Linked DNA regions of Pelodiscus sinensis. The protein of the gene in region 2 binds, or shares a complex with, the protein of the main gene of each other region. Links are inferred from orthologs where the notes say so. Each region holds a gene or a part of one and is shown on either strand. Other genes may lie near its edges.

The links.
Region 1: the proteins of CAST (region 2) and calpain-2 catalytic subunit are in contact, whole or in part, in a crystal structure (PDB 3BOW), measured with the Rattus norvegicus proteins. The link is inferred for Pelodiscus sinensis from reciprocal best matches to the Homo sapiens genes CAST and CAPN2. Residues at the interface, in NP_445747.2 of Rattus norvegicus: Glu571, Leu572, Asp573, Ala575, Leu576, Asp577, Glu578, Leu579, Ser580, Ser582, Leu583, Gly584, Gln585, Arg586, Gln587, Pro588, Leu596, Asp597, Asp598, Lys599, Val600, Lys601, Glu602, Lys603, Ile604, Lys605, Ala606, Glu607, His608, Ser609; in NP_058812.1 of Rattus norvegicus: Glu62, Leu63, Ser68, Lys69, Gln99, Gly100, Ala101, Leu102, Gly103, Trp106, Lys161, Asp162, Leu165, Leu166, His169, Ser196, Gly197, Gly198, Thr200, Ser241, Asp243, Ile244, Thr245, Asp249, Ser250, Glu251, Ala252, Val253, Val259, Lys260.

Annotation. Positions count from the first base shown.
Region 1 is NC_134713.1:155,231,733-155,239,558, forward strand, and holds the start of calpain-2 catalytic subunit, read left to right. Parts: upstream 1-4,732; 5' UTR 4,733-4,861; coding exon 4,862-5,098; intron 5,099-7,826. UniProt on the Homo sapiens protein: Calcium-regulated non-lysosomal thiol-protease which catalyzes limited proteolysis of substrates involved in cytoskeletal remodeling and signal transduction. Proteolytically cleaves MYOC at 'Arg-226'.
Region 2 is NC_134716.1:70,618,910-70,626,884, reverse strand, and holds the start of CAST (calpastatin), read left to right. Parts: upstream 1-4,970; 5' UTR 4,971-5,197; coding exon 5,198-5,272; intron 5,273-5,814; exon of another isoform or gene 5,815-5,946; intron 5,947-7,975.

The DNA.
Region 1 (7,826 bases), on a different chromosome or scaffold from region 2:
ATTTTGAGCTAATCTGTGTGAACACACACACAGGGAACCGATGGGCTTGTGGTGTGGTGTAACGTGAGGCTCATGGAAGGGGGCCTGGGGCTCAGGGACACTGTGGGCAGGGATGACTGACTGCCTCTCTGTTTTCTGCGTTCTCTGCAGCGGAACCAGCGGGGAGCGAGGGATCCTCCAGCCCTGCGGTGGTGGCACCAACGACCCAGGCACCAGTCCGGCAAGCCAGGCAGTGCGATCTGCTCCTCCCGTGTCACATCCAGGCTGTGGAGCGGATGGGGGACACGGTTAGCAGCAAGCTGCGGGCTGACATGGAGTGGTGGCAGCCAGAGGCGTAGTGAGGGTGTTATGCACCTGGGGGCAAAGGAAAAATTTGCACCCCTTCCCCCCTGCCGCCATGTGACACAGCCTTGAACCTGGTGCACAGCTGAGGGGAACTTGTACTGCATCTTCCCATGAGCAGAATGAATTTTGTGTTGTGCACCAGTACTGAGTTCATGGGGCTTGTTTGGATGTGCCATTGTGGAACCCAAGTTATTAATAAATATTTTATAAACCTTTACTTTTTCTCTCTGCTGCCATGTCTCCTCCCCTTGCTCCATCAGCTCCCCTGGTGCCTGCTGCCCCTCAGCTCCTCACCCTCCTCTGCTGTCCTGACTCCTGCTCTTCTCACTGCCCTCCGCCCTCCTGTGACCTGCCCCCCTCCACCAGCCCTTCACTCCCCCCTGTGCCCACTCCTCCAGTAGCCCCACTCTGATCATGTGAGCTACCGCTCCTCATTCCCTCTCCTAACACCTCCCTCTACACACCTGCCCTGCTTCTCTGCTCTGGTGCTGGTCCCTCCCCTGCAGGTGTCTGCCCTTCTGCTTCACCCCCAGAATCCCCTGGCACCTGCACTTTCCCTTAGCCCTGCATCCTCCTGGTGCCTCCCCCTTTCCTCATTGCCCCTGCCTCCTTTGCCCTCTTTTTCCCTGATGCCCACCCCCTCACCACTCTCTGCCCCCATTGCCCTCATGCCCCTCTGTGCCCTCACAGATGCCTTGCTCCATCCCCACCTTTCACATGCCCACCCCTTCTTTTAAGCCTTCTCCCAGCACCTCCCCCTCCGGCCCCCAATGCCCTTACCCTCTCCTCTCCCAGCATCACCCTGTCCCCCCTCCCACTGGCACCTCCTCTCCTGCCCTTTTCCTATTTGTCTCCACTTGGCCCCCTGGCATTTGTCTCTCCTCCAGGCTGTCCCTTGGTGCCTTCCTCTCCCAGCTCCTCCCCCTCCACACAAGCCTCTTATTCTCCCACCCCTTCCTCTTTCCGTCCCCTTCCCCCTGCGCACAAGCCCCTTCCTCTCCCTCCCCCTCCGCACAAGCCCCTTCCTCTCCCACCCCATCCACCTCCCCTTCCGCACAAGCCCCTTCCTCTCCCGGCCCTTCCCCCTAGTTTTCCCCCTTCCCTGCCCTGCCCAGTGCCCCCCTAGCGTGGCGCCCAGGGGCAATTCCCCCCATGCCCTCCCTTTGCTACGCCTCTGGTGGCAGCAGGCGTTGGGCCAGTTCCTCCAACACTGCGATCTCATGTGTGACACCATCTCCACCCTCATGTCGCACATCAGCCATGCTGTGCACTCTGGCATGGCCTGGCACCCATCCTGCCTACTTCCCTGTGATGCCTGCCCCAACCCGGCCTGAAGGACGCCGAAGCCTTTGTACCCGCAGAGGCACTGGCAAGAGCTGCCCCTCCCAGCAAGAACTCCCCTCCCAGTTGAGAGTCCCATCCTCCTCCCCCTCCCAATTGGGAGTCCCCTCCCACTGCCCACCCAGCAGTCTGAAGGTGCACCCCACTTGGTTGCGGGCCCGGTTCAGGTATTGGTTGAATGTTTCCTGGCAAGGGTCCATGTGTCCAGTGTATGGCTGCATCAGCCACAGCATGAGAGGGTAGGCCGTGTCCCCCACAATGCACAGTGGCATGTGGACGTCCCCAACCGTCAATTCCTGCTGGGGGAAGAAAGTGCCCGCTTCCATCCTGCAAAATAGGCTAGAGTTTCGGAGGATGCAGGCATCATGTACCCTACCCAACCACCCCACATAGATGTCCATGAAGTGGGCACGATGGTCCACAAGGGCCTGGAGCACCATTGAAAAGTACCCCTTCCGATTGATGAAGTGGGCTGCTCAATGCTCCAGTGCCCGGATGGGAAGCCCATTCATGGCTTCCCCGCAGTTTGAGAACTCCAGGGCAGTGAAGCCAGTCATGGTTGCGTCCACGTCCCGCAGGCGGATGACCCTCTTGAGGAGGATGTCATTGATGGCTCAGACACCCTGCAGAAGGGCACACAGGGAACACACAAGAATGGGGCAGGGTGGGTGTATAAGCCCTTGGGGGGGTGCCTGCCCTCCTGTGATGCCCTCTCCCCACCAAACACGCTAGGGCCCCCTTGCCCCGGAGCCTCATCCACACACACCAGACAGGCCTATGTGAGGGAGGAACGGCACAAGCCCCTGGGGGTGACAGGGCTTCCCCCATACCCTCCCAGGCTCCCACAGCCTGGAGTCTTCCCTTCCCCTGGGCAGGGACTGCAGCCCCCCCGAGGGCCTTACCTGCATCAAGACGGCACCCACTGTGGACCTGCCCACCCCGAACTGGTGTGCCGCTGAGTGGTAGCTGTCTGGGGTGACGAGCTTCCACATGACGATGGCGACCCTCTTGTTCATAGGGATGGTGGGCCGCAGCAGGGTGTTGCCTATGAGGAGCGCAGAGGTGAGCCAGCCACACAATTCCAGGAACATCTACTTCCGCATCCTGAAGTTGTGGAGTCACTGCTAGTCATCACATTGCTCCAGGACCAGCCGGTCCCACCAGTCGGAACTGGTGTCGAGTCTCCAGTATCGCCTCTCCACAGTGCGGAAGGGATGCCACAGTGAAGCCGCCACATCCAGGGAGAGGGAGTCCAGAGTGAGCTCGGCATTGAGCTTGTGCAGGAGTAGTGAGGCAGCATAGAGCAGCAGCTGCAGGCACTCCAAAATGACAGTGTGGGGCCAGAGCAGGCACAGGGCCATCCCTGGCTCCATGGCACAGCAAGAAGGCAAAAGTCCCCAAAAGCACTAGCGCACAAGCTGTGGTGTCCAAAGAGGAAGAGGGCAACCACAACAGGAACTGCTACAGCTTTCAATCCCTACCAGGAGTCCCAAAGCATGCAGCAGCAGAGAAACAGCTGTCCAGGGAGATTGCTTTAAGCACATGTCTCAGAGGAGCTCCAGCCTCCGCCCCCAGAAGGTCCCGGTGCCCTTTTGCCCTGTCTGAAGTGGTTCCGGGAGGGAGGTCTTTGCCCAAGAGCGTCCCACCAATGTGGTCGCTCTCTTGTGCAAAAGCGCTTTGCTATTGTGATGCGCTTTGACCACTGTGGACGCACTCTTGTGCAAGAACTTTTGCACAAAACAGTTCTTCTGCAAGAAGCCTGCAGTATAGACATAACCCTAATGTTAAGTTTGCTCCTTTTCCTGGGTATTTTGTACAGCATCAATAGCAAATGTTTCAAGATTTAAGGAACCCCTCAAAATGTAATGTGTTAACAGGAAAGGTGACAATAATCCCCTTAAATTCCAGAGGCTCCCAAAGCATGTGACAAAACATAAGCAGCACAGTTTCCATCACTTTCAAACACAGCACAGCCACTTTTGGAATGGAGGAGCTAAAGAGGAAATGAAATAAATACAAGCTTTATAGTCAGGACAGGTGGTACATGTGTCCCCTTTAGTTTAAGTGATAGAGGCCAGGGTGTGAGTTTTATTCCTGTTGATAACCCAGGCCAGACACCAAGACAAAGTGATAGCCCAGATAGGATTTTGACTCCTGGGCTGCGTTTAGATTGGCAAGTTTTTCCGCAAAAGCAGCTGCTTTTACGGAAAAACTTGCCAGCTGTCTACACTGTCCACTTGAATTTCCGCAAGAACACTGATGATCTCATGTAAGATTGTCAGTGTTCTTGTGGAAATACTATGCTGCTCCCGTTCGGGCAAAAGCCTTCTTGCGTAAATGCTTTTGTGCAAGAGGGCCAGTGTAGACAACACGGTATTGTTTTGCACAAAAAAGCCCCAATCGCGAAAATGGCGATCAGGGCTTTCTTGCACAAAACCGCGTCTAGATTGGCACGGATGCTTTTCCGCAAAAAGTGCTTTTGCGGAAAAGCGTCCGTGCCAATCTAGACACTCTTTTCCGCAAATGCTTTTAACGGAAAAACTCTTCCGTTAAAAACATTTGCGGAAAATCATGCCAGTCTAGATATAGCCCTGGGCTACGTCTACACTGGCCCCTTTTCCGGAAGGGGCATGTAAATTTCACTAGTCGTCGTAGGGAAATCCGCGGGGGATTTAAATATCCCCCGCGGCATTTAAATAAAAATGTCCGCCGCTTTTTTCCGGCTTTTAAAAAAGCCGGAAAAGAGCGTCTAGACTGGCCCCGATCCTCCGGAAAAAGCGCCCTTTTCCGGAGGCTCTTATTCCTACTTCAAAGTAGGTTTTGACCAGGTTTTGCCGACTTCTGATAGGGTGAGGAGGCTGTTCACTACAACGGACAAGTGTAAAGGACACTTGCTTGAGGGGGGACTAGGTAGTGGCCAGGCACATCCCAGCCAGGAGGATCCCACCTTAGAAAACAGGCAAGATGTGGGGGTGCGGGTGGTGCTGCAGCTCGCCCTGTGCATCTCTGCCCTACGGACACTAGGAGGAGGCTGCAGCTTTAAGCACGAGCCACACCCAATTTTTGCAGCAGTTCCCCCACGGATGATTCACCAGCCGGTCTGGCTGCTGTTTACTTCAGGTTCCCCACGTCCCCGCCGAGCAGGGGCAGCGCGCTCGCCGCGGCAGAGGCGACCATGTCAGGGATGGCAGCGAAGTTGGCGAAGGAGCGGGAAACAGCCCGGGGCTTGGGCTCCAACGCGAAGGCGTTTAAATACCTCAGCCAGGACTTCGAGGCGCTGCGGGACGAGTGCCTGCAGGCTGGCGCGCTCTTCCAGGACCCCGCCTTCCCCGCCGTCCCCTCTTCCCTGGGCTACCAGGAGCTGGGGCCCACCTCGTACAAAACTCAGGGCATCACGTGGAAGAGACCAACGGTAGGGGCGCGACCGGCCGGGGGTGAGGGAGGAGGGACAGAGAAGCAGGGGATTGGTGTGAAGGGCAGAGCAGAGCTGAGCGTGTTTGGCTGGTGGGAAGGCTGCGGTGATGGGGGGGCTCCTGTCCCCCCTCCCCCATACCAAGGGGGAATGTTGGTGGCAGGGAGATGCCTATAAATAACAGCTGGACTTTTCCGTGCACAACGACAGCTGCAGAGGAGCCCAGCCTCCTCATCGTAACCCCTGACCCCTGAATCTTAGGAGCCAGGTGTGTGTGGGTTGTGGGGGAGGGACACCTGCTTTGCGTTTTGCATTCGGGCCTTCTCTTTACTAACGAGCCAAACCTAGCCTCTGGGCTGGGACCACCCCAACGTGGCTGGGGATCGGTAGCAGAAGGCTCTACTTTTGTCTTGAGCCGGCTGCAAGAGATGAAATGACACCGGACTAGGTTATAGCAAAAATGCTGCTCTTAACCGGAGAGGGGGAAGTTGCATGAATTACAGAGCCCCAGGCTGCGAAGTCGAGGAGGAAGAACGTACTTTTCCCAAGCTCAGCACACAGAGCAGCGAAAGCTTGTCTGTTGCCTGAAAACCTCCCCCCCCCCCCCCCCCCCCGAAGAATGCACCTTACTGACTCCTACTCAATAGGAGCAGCCTGCTAAAGGACCAAGGGAGGCACCTCTGAGATGCATGGGGCAGTCCCTCGGCCAGGACCTAAGAGTGCAGATGCACTAATGGCTCAGCGATGTGTAATGGGAAAGTTAAAAAAGTGCTAATTCTGTTTGGATTTATTTAAACTTCTCTGGGCTAGAAAAGTAGCTAAAAAGTTTATGGAAACTATGGAAATGTCTGGGCTTGCAGTGCTGATGCTTATTAATAAACATGAAGGTTAAGTCTCTGAATTTCACAGATTCACTTCAAGGACCTCTTATTTATATTGCTGTAGGGCAGGAGTGTCCCCACAGAAGTCAGGGGAGCTATGTTGATAAAAACTTGGGTCCTGATCTTCCTCCTGCAGCTATTTAATGTTTATTCCAGATACCTTGCTCTTGGCTCATCTTGAGTTCAACACAGTAACTGTGTTTACTTTAAAGACAGGAGTCAGTATTTGAAGCCACCCAGGCAATGACTGGTTTTCCGTGCAAAACTCGATGAAGGGCAAGACTCAATAATCCTCATTCACATTCTATTGCCCTCCCACAATGTGGTCAGTTGAAAACAGCTTTTTTTAAATATGTAATAGTGCCAGGAGGCTGTTCTCTGCTGTGAGTTAACTCATTTGTTTGCATTCCCAAAATACATAACTAATTCAGCATGGTTTGTTCATATTGAACAGGTGTAAACAGGTATGAATTCATGTCCCAGCTCCTACACTGTCCCCACCCTCAGATCCACTCCCCTCTACAGCTACACAGGTCTCTGGTGAAATATACTTGTCAAGTTTGAGAGGTATTGCAAGGACTGTATCTCCATTACCATCTATTCTTTTTCCTTCTTTTCAGCCAACTAATGTTGCTTGCTCCGTTCTTCGTTTTACCAGTCACTGAGAGAGTCTTTCTTGCTTCAGTTTCCCTATTTGCACCCTTCCCCCTAGACTTTCTAGATCCCCTTCTTTCTACCCTGATTGATACAGGGAGGTTATATTTTCCTACCAGCTGTGCAGCATCCCTTATCACTTTGTTTATTGCCTACCTTTTGCAGGGGTACAGAGGAATAAAGTTGGTCAAAATACTCAGAATTTTGCACCTTTTGCAAAGGGCCACATTCATCCTTGGTGTAGTAGGAGCTACATTATGGAGGAATTTGGCTGAAAATGGCCCCAAAAGAGCATTGAAACTGCTCCAAGAACAAATGGAAAAATCCTTCAGGGCTAAGAGCCAAACAACTAAAGCCCAATCAATATGCTTTCCTATGAAGGGGCTGGCCGCAAAGGCCTCTGTTTACTCAGGAACCACTCTGGACAGTGGTGCCACTTCAGATTTGGAGGAGGTGGCAACTTTAACTGCGATTTCAGGGGATACTAAGGCACTTCAAAACATTTAATTTTTGGCAGATAGCTTGCAATTTGCTGACAGGAGCACTGTATCTTTTTATCTCTCTCTGTGTGTGTGTGTGTGTGTGTGTGTGTGTGTGTGTGTGTGTGTGTATATATATATATATATATATATATATATATATATATATATATATATAGGGAGAGACCGACCGACCCCTGTTCATTCAAGAACTCTTCCTAAACAGTAAGACCTAGGACCACCAAATTTGATATGTGGCTTCCTTTTGTCATAGCTTAAAGGAAGTTCTGGGTTTGTTTGCCCCAGGGAAATGTGACGTGCCTGGAATGGGACTGTTTTCCATGACATGGAAAGGGAGGGGGCTGATTATAGGAGACTTTTATTTAAAGTGAGCACTGTGGGCAGCAAGCACAGGAGAGAGCTATAATGCAGAGTGAATGGGGAGGCAGCGGAGTGGCCACCTGGGCCATATGACTGGCCACCAGAGCACATAAATGCCCCCTGCCCCCAAACAGTGCTACCAAGGGAGGGGCATCTATGCACACCAGCCCTGCTGTCTCTGCGCCCATCAGGGACCAAACCTGAGAACGCGGCCCATCCCCAGAAATGTTGCAAGTTGGAGGGGCACTGGATGCCAGGCTGGCCTCCAGAACCCTGCCTTCCCTGACCAGTTGCAGGTTGGGGGGGGGGGAGAAGCTGGAGATTGGGGCCAGC
Region 2 (7,975 bases):
TCTTATGCACTTACACTCCAGTGGATGAATAAGTTACATTAGAAAAAATAAAGACTAGTAGCCACAAGGTTATATAGTACTTTCTTCCATTACTTAAGGTGAATGAGCATTGAATTGCTTTACCTGCTAACTGATGGTTGCACTGATACATACACTGGCTTGTGGAACACATCCACAAATTGAGATGACATCGAGATGGAAATGTGCTGACAGAAAATAATCTTCGTCATAATTCAATGTGTCTATGCATGCACAGTATTTATTCCTATAAGATCAAGAACACAGGACATGTGAAGGTGTGCCAAAAAGCATGTTGACTACAATATTGGTAGCTGATACCTTTTAGGTACCTTTCTTACTGGAAATTTTAGCAGCTGCATACGTTGTTTTTGAGGCTTTCAGGATCAATTTTTCAGAAATAACCTCCAAATTTGTAATTAGAATTATACTCATTTTTCAGTTGTCCAAGTTTTGACACACACTTAAATACAGATGTGGATGTTTGGTATTCACAAAACACTTGTTTGTGTTAGACATTTAAGAATTCTTAACACACACTCTAATTTAGGAACACTATAAATCTGCAACTATTGTGAAACCTCTTAGAGTTACTGGCTTAGTATTTATCTGAGAGATATTTCAAATTTTATTTATGTGCCTAATTAACCTTTCAGTGGGACCATTACATACTTAAGCTAAGTAACTGATAAACAAAACAATAAGTCATTCACACAAGTTCTGAAAGAACTCAAATAAAAAATTGTAGAATTATTAAATAAACTTCTGTACCAGAAAACTGGAGAATAGTTAACGTAACATAATTTTTTTTAGAAAATGCTTCAGTGGTGATCCTGGCAATCACAGGCTGTTAAACCTCCTACCTATTAATTTCAATAACTAACCCCTGGTTCTTGGGTTATATGAAGATGTAAATAACATTTCCTTATTCACTTCCTTGTACTTGGCCTTTATCATAGCTCTCTGTAGTCATCTCTTTTCCAATCAGCATAGTTCCAATCTTTCTAATCCCTCTTCATATGGATGTTGTGAAGGCTGAAATTATCACTGGGTGAAAAAAAATTAGATGAAGTGCTGGAAGATGGATCCATCAACAGTTATTAGCCAAGATGGTCAGGGCTTCAACCCCATGTTCTAGATCTCTCTAAACCTCTGACTGGCAGCAATTTGGACTGGACAATAGGGGATGGATCGTTCAACAATTGCCCTGTTCTGTTCATCCTCTCTGAAGCACCAGGCACTGCCCACTATCAGAAAATCGGATATTGGGCTACACAGAACATTGGTTTGACTCTATATGGCTGTTCTTATGTAAGCACGAGCTTGAGGGTACATCTAAGCTGAGGGCTAAAGTCAAGTTAAGATATGCAACTTCAGCTATGTACCTTAACTTGACTTTTGGTGTTGTTTGCATAGAATACTCTTCCTTCAACTTCCTTTACTCATCGTAAAATGTGGGTTACAGAAGTCAGGGTAAGAAGCCCATTATTTCGAAATCATTTTGAAATAACAGGCTTGCTATGTAGATGCACACTCTTTTATTTTGAAATAATGTAAGTTAATCAAAATAAGTGTGCAGTGTAGACATAGCCTGAGTGATTTGATGGATCAAGGCAGAGCCAGAATTAGCATAAACAGACTAAGTGACTAATTAGGGCCCTGAGCAGCTCAAGGGTGCCTGCTATTCACTTTATTAATTATTATGAATTATTGTTTATTACTGGGGAAGCCAAAATATTCCTGCTTAGGGTACCCAATGGGCTAACACTGCCTCTGGATTAGGACCTGAGAGTTGAGCACATGGCAGGATCAATTGAGACTCAAATTATTGTGTTTTTCACACATATTTTTGTCTAATCATGAATGCTGCTGATAGTTTGCTTCCTAATTTCTGTCTCTGAGCTCAGATGACTGTCATCAGGGCAGCACAATTAAAGGAGTGGTACTTAGGCTTCCTTCTTTTTCTGCCAAAGTGTCAGCAGGGAGTATCCCATGTCCTGCAGCCTCAGGAATGCAGTACAATCTGTCCGACCTGTTGGTGAGACCCAAGGGATTATTTTTAAAATTAAAACACAAAAGGCACTTGCTAAACTTTCATATTAAACTAGCCCCACAACCTTCCATTCTCCTCTGTATCTCACACATGCACTCATCTTTATAGCAGTTACCTTTGTACAATTATTTTATACACACATGCTTTGACACATCTCTAGTTAGTTACACACATGGGTAAGTGAGATCAGAATCAGGCCCTCAGAGTACTTTTAATTTCTGTATCTGTCTTTTGCAAGCAGGTTTATAGTACAATCAAAATTCTCTTGGAAATGTAAAAAGTTTCAAAGCAAAAAGATAAATTTATGAAGTTTTACATTAAATCATTGCAATTATACAAGACAACCACAATTATTTCATATATTTATCTTAAGTATTAATATGCTTAAATATATTCAGTATTTTGAAATCTACAATAATTGTCGACTTCTCCCAGAATAAACTTAGATAAGCTATATTTAATATTACATATGTATTAATAAGAATGTAATACACAATTTCATTTTAATGTAAATATTTTTCTTCCTATTTGAAACTGAATAGCAATATAACAGAACAAAACTCACTTAAACAATTGGAATAGATTTTTCCCACTTCCTCCCAAATTACTAATTACATCCAAATTGCTACAATCTTTGAGGAATGTTATGCCAGTTGCTCTGATTGCTTCTTCAGAATAGAAAACGTTGAGTTCCTGATGGACTGGTCTCTATAACCCCCAGACTCAGTTAGAATCAGTATGGTTTCCTGGAAGAATGGTTATGCATTTCTGAGCTCTTCAAGACAAGCCACTTCTCAGGAATGACCATTTCCCATCTTGGCTGTTTACAGCTTAAAGTGGGACAATGTTGCTGTTATTGCCAGACCCAGTGAAATCATAGAATCATAGAATACTAGGACTGGAAGGGACCTCGAGAGGTCATCGAGTCCAGTCCCCTGCCCCCATGGCAGGAAATGTCTTGCTTTGGGCCAAATCCTTGAGCCCATGTGAAAGCTGTGGAAAGTCCTGAATGCTGGTGAAACTGGTGCTGTTATAATGTGGTAGAGAGGCATACCTAGTCCTGGTCTACTGTACAAAGTTTAATCATGGGAAAATAGAGAGGCATTGCTACTGCTCCAATAGCCTAGAGTTCCCCAAGAACACATTGGCTATGTCTACACTGGCCCCTTTTCCGGAAGGGGCATGTAAATTTCACTAGTCGTCGTAGGGAAATCCGCGGGGGATTTAAATATCCCCCGCGGCATTTAAATAAAAATGTCCGCCGCTTTTTTCCGGCTTTTAAAAAAGCCGGAAAAGAGCGTCTAGACTGGCCCCGATCCTCCGGAAAAAGTGCCCTTTTCCGGAGGCTCTTATTCTTAGAATAAGAATAAGAGCCTCCGGAAAAGGGCACTTTTTCCGGAGGATCGGGGCCAGTCTAGACGCTCTTTTCCGGCTTTTTTAAAAGCCGGAAAAAAGCGGCGGACATTTTTATTTAAATGCCGCGGGGGATATTTAAATCCCCCGCGGATTTCCCTACGACGACTAGTGAAATTTACATGCCCCTTCCGGAAAAGGGGCCAGTGTAGACGTAGCCATCTATTTTACTCAAGCTGCGTACATATATGCTAGCCCATTAAACTTATATCTTTAATCTCCCTTTATTTTGGAAGGTAATAATTAAAGTGATGGATTTTCATTTCCACGTACACCTTTTCACATTCTAGACTCAATTAAATTCTTATTTTTGGGGGGTGTTCATGCATTCAGAGTCACAAATGATGCCCTGACTTTGGATCAGAGCCAAATGGGCATGCTGGAGTTTTGAGTGACCATAAGTTGTTTCTCCTCTAAGAAAAGTTGCTGATGTACTGCCCAGCCTTCTACATAAGGGTTTGCATTTAGAATTTACATTTTAAAATTAGATTTCAAAAATTCTTTCAGATCTAATAAATATAAGTTGTAGCAGCAACAGTTAAAAATGTAATATATACATTTGAAACCTAATAGTTTCTTTTTAATAAGAAAAAGAAAGGTTTTGTTGTTTTGTATGTTGCAGGATATTGGTCAGACCCATTAAAACTATACTGACCAGAAAAATAGATAGATAGATTGATAAATAGATAGAATGAACTTTTTTGCATTCACTGATATGGAAATTTAACAGATTAGTGATTGATGATTTTGAGTTACAAGAACATAAAATCCTTTCTGGAACAAGTACTGAGCTAAATTCAGCAAGGCTTGAACAACAATTAGAGGCATGATTCCAAGAAAAAAGTTGTGAATGGCTCAAGCACCTCTTCAGAAGTAGGCTTCAAGTGTGGATGCTTACTGAAATGAATATGGGGAAAAACTTCAGCTAGAATCTCATGAATCTCTAGTCTGCTTTTGATATTTCCACTTGCAGCCACATTCAGGAAGAGCACAAGAGACATAAACCTAACATGATAACCTTTTCCAATGTTCTTCTCAAAACCTGGGGGGGGGGGGGGGGGGGGGAATTAAAACTTGGCTTGAGTTTTGGGTAAAGATCCAGGTTTGCTAACATTTTAAGTTATTTTACTACCTAAAACCACAAAACTGACAGGAGAAATAAATGTGTGATGGCTATTTTTTTCAGGCAACCAATTTTGTTACATGGAGCCAATAGCAATGACAGGATAGGCCCAAACCAAAATTCTGGGTCTGATCCAAACCCCTCTTGAAACTATTCTGTTACGGATTTGAATTTTATGGCTTCCTCCCCTATACTTTCTTATCACCAAAAGGAACATAAATCCGAGCTCAGCTCTGAGCGCCAAAAGGGCTACGCCCAGGCCGCATTCTGCAAGTAAGCCAGCAAGGTATGCCCCAGCAAGCAGCAAAACCACCCCCAAGCCTCTTCCAGTCAGGTGTCCCCTCCTTCTCAACAAACACTGAGTTTAGCGGGGATGAGCCGGGACAGAGGACTGGTGCAGTTAGAGCAGCTGGTCATAGCAGCCGAAGCTGCAGGAAGAGGAGGGACTTGCTGGGTTTCAGCCTAGTTGGCTCTGGGTGCATCGGAAAAGCTGCTTCACAGTTACATGTAACCTGCCCCCCTCGCCCTGCCCCTCGCAGCGCCCCGTAAACACTGCGCAGAGAGGCGCCGAGCACGGAGCCGCCGCGGCCATGTCTCAGCCAAGTAAAGGGAAGAAGCCGCCCTCCTCCAAGCCTGCGGGGGCTCCAGGCAAGGGGAGCAGAGCGGTAAGTGTGGGAGCGAGGGCGCGGGCTAGGGCGGCGCCCAGAGCTCCGCGCCCGGGCTTGGGGTGCCAGCGGGGCTTGCTGCCTGCTGCGCGTGCCAGGCCAGAGGAATGCGCCAGCGCCCCGCAAGGGGGGAAGGGGACTGTCCGGCTCAGTCCTCTTGCGGCCACGGGCGTGTATGGGCGGCGGTGGTGGGGGGGGGGGAGAGGTTGACAGCCCCGCTGCGGTCTGTGGGGAGGGTGTGGTGACAGCCCAGGGGCCTGGCAGAGCGGTGGGAAGGGAAGAGCCCAGCGCAGGCCCGGTGCAGGGGGGAAGGGACGCGCAGCGCCCTAGTCCCCCAGAAGGCAGGGAGGGCGCTCCAGGCCGGGCTGCCCTTTCCCCAGGGCTGCTGCGGGGCAGGCGGGCTGCAGTGGGGCGTGTTGCGGACTGTCCCGCTGTTCCTAAAGCACCGAGGACTGAGTGGGAGGGCGCGGCCTCGCCCGCCCCTCCTCTGTCTGCTCCTGCCCTGGAGCTCCAGCTCCGCCCCGCAGCCAGTGCCAAAGCGCCAGCAGCTGGGGCAGCCCCAGCTTGGCTCTACCGCCCTGAGACTGCGCTGAGAATCGCTCCGGCTGGGCGGTGGAGGAGAGGGCTATTTTGAAGGAGGAACGCGTTCCGACCATGGCCTTTGCAAGCTGGTGGTATGTGACGGTAAATAGAGGCCGCTTTCTCTGCTGCTGACAGTGGATTTTAATCTCTTGGGCAGGGCGTGTGGCCCTTGCCAGCGAGTGTCACTGTGGGTCTCAGCAATAAGGGTGTAGGGAATGGGAGAGCCTAATTTGCCCCACCCTCTGTTTGCGAAACTCACCCTGTTTTTGGCATGTGAGGTACCATCGGGCTCACTTTTGCAGCTTAGATTTGTTGTATTCTGTTTTTTAAAAGTATTTAAAGTATTTGGGACTGCAGGGGAAGGAATGAGGAAGCAACTGTTAGCTATGTCAAGAAAGGACTTAGGAGCCAGCCTGATTCCATGTTAAGTTAGACACACTGATGCATTGATTATGTTGTTCAGAAGAATAGTAACTAACAGTGAACGGATCAAGTAACTAAAGTGCTCACTATATTCAACTTAAATTAGTAAAGAAGTATAGTTTTGTGTAGAAGATGATTTGATACTTTGAAACTTTTTAAGTAGATGTTAGTTTCTCTAGATAATCTGTTATAGTACATGCCTTGCAGTTTCACAGGGACTTGCATAAATTCATTAGTGAAGTTGTCACATTAAAAGTAGCTTTGTGAATGTTGCTGTTAATTTTTACAACCTTTTGAAAATACGGACCCTTTTATGTTCTGGTCATGACTTTTGCACATTGTTGGTATGTCACAGTAAATAGAGAGTGCTTTCTCTGCTACTGACAGTGGATTTTAATCTCTTAGGCAGGGTGTGTGGCCCATGCAAGTTAGTATCAATATAGATATCAGTAATAAAGATGTAGTGAATGGGAAAGCCTTCGTGCTAAAGGTTAGAAAAGTACAGATGGTGCAGGCCTTATGTAGCTCTACTGCATTCAGTAAAATTACAGGCAGTCCCCGGGTTACATACAAGATAGGGACTGTAGGTTTGTATTTAAGTCGAATTTGTACTTAAGTCGGAACTGGCATCCAGATTCAGCTGCTGCTGAAACTGACCAGCAGCTGATTCCAGGAAGCCCGGGGCAGAGAAACTCTGCCTCCGGCTTCCTGTAGTCAGCAGCTGGTCAGTTTCAGCAGACCAGGTAGACGCGGAGCAAAGCCGCCGAGGACCCGGGCGGGACCGCGGCGCCTCTGGACGCTCCCGCCGCCCGGGTCCTCCATGGCTTTGCTCCGCGTCTCCCTGGTCTGCTGCCCGCTCCCCTCCCCCCAGCAGACCAGGGAGACACGGAGCAGCTTTGCTTGCCCCGGAGGACGAGGGTGGCGGGACCTCGGTGCGTCTGGGCGGTCCCGCCGGCCGCATCCTCCGGGGCGAGAAAAGCCCCGTTCGTAAGTGCGGTTCGTACATAAGTTGGATCCGCATAACTCTGGGACTGCCTGTACAGGGGTGTATGAATTTGCCCTACCCTCAGTACAGACGCTTTATGTAGATCCATTCAACCAAAACAGAGGGTGGGACAAGATAAGCCTGCCCAATCTTTATGTAATGGAAATGTATGTGGCCCTCTTTCTTATGTTAGACCCCCTTTTCTCTTGTTATGTTTTATTCCTATTGTTGTGATTAAACACTATTTTGTTTTGCAAAGGCTGTTTATGTTGTTGTTCACCACTGATCAGAACTTCCAAAGGGAAGACTTGCATGGCATGAACTCCCTCAGGCCTGCTGAATAATCATGTTTGATTCATTAGGGGTGTTCATGGGATCATCTAAGTGTGGAAGAATCATAGCATTCCACCCCAGGCCAGCTGATGACAAGAGGCTTAACTCCTGAGGGGGATAGAGAGCAAGAGAGGTCAAACGTATAGCTAGCTCTAAACCATGACAGGGATTGTTTCTCATATACCAACAGTATAATTCTGGTCCTGGTGGAAAGCTTAACACCTATGGTTTATGGGTTTTTTTTTTTTTTTTTTTAGAAGTACTGTTCATGATACATTAGGTAGTGCTTCTCTCTTTAAGCGCTTTATCCAACGTCTACTGAAGTCAGTGGGAGTTAAATCAGGACTTAATTCTATTTTGGTCTGTAGTTCAGTATTGCT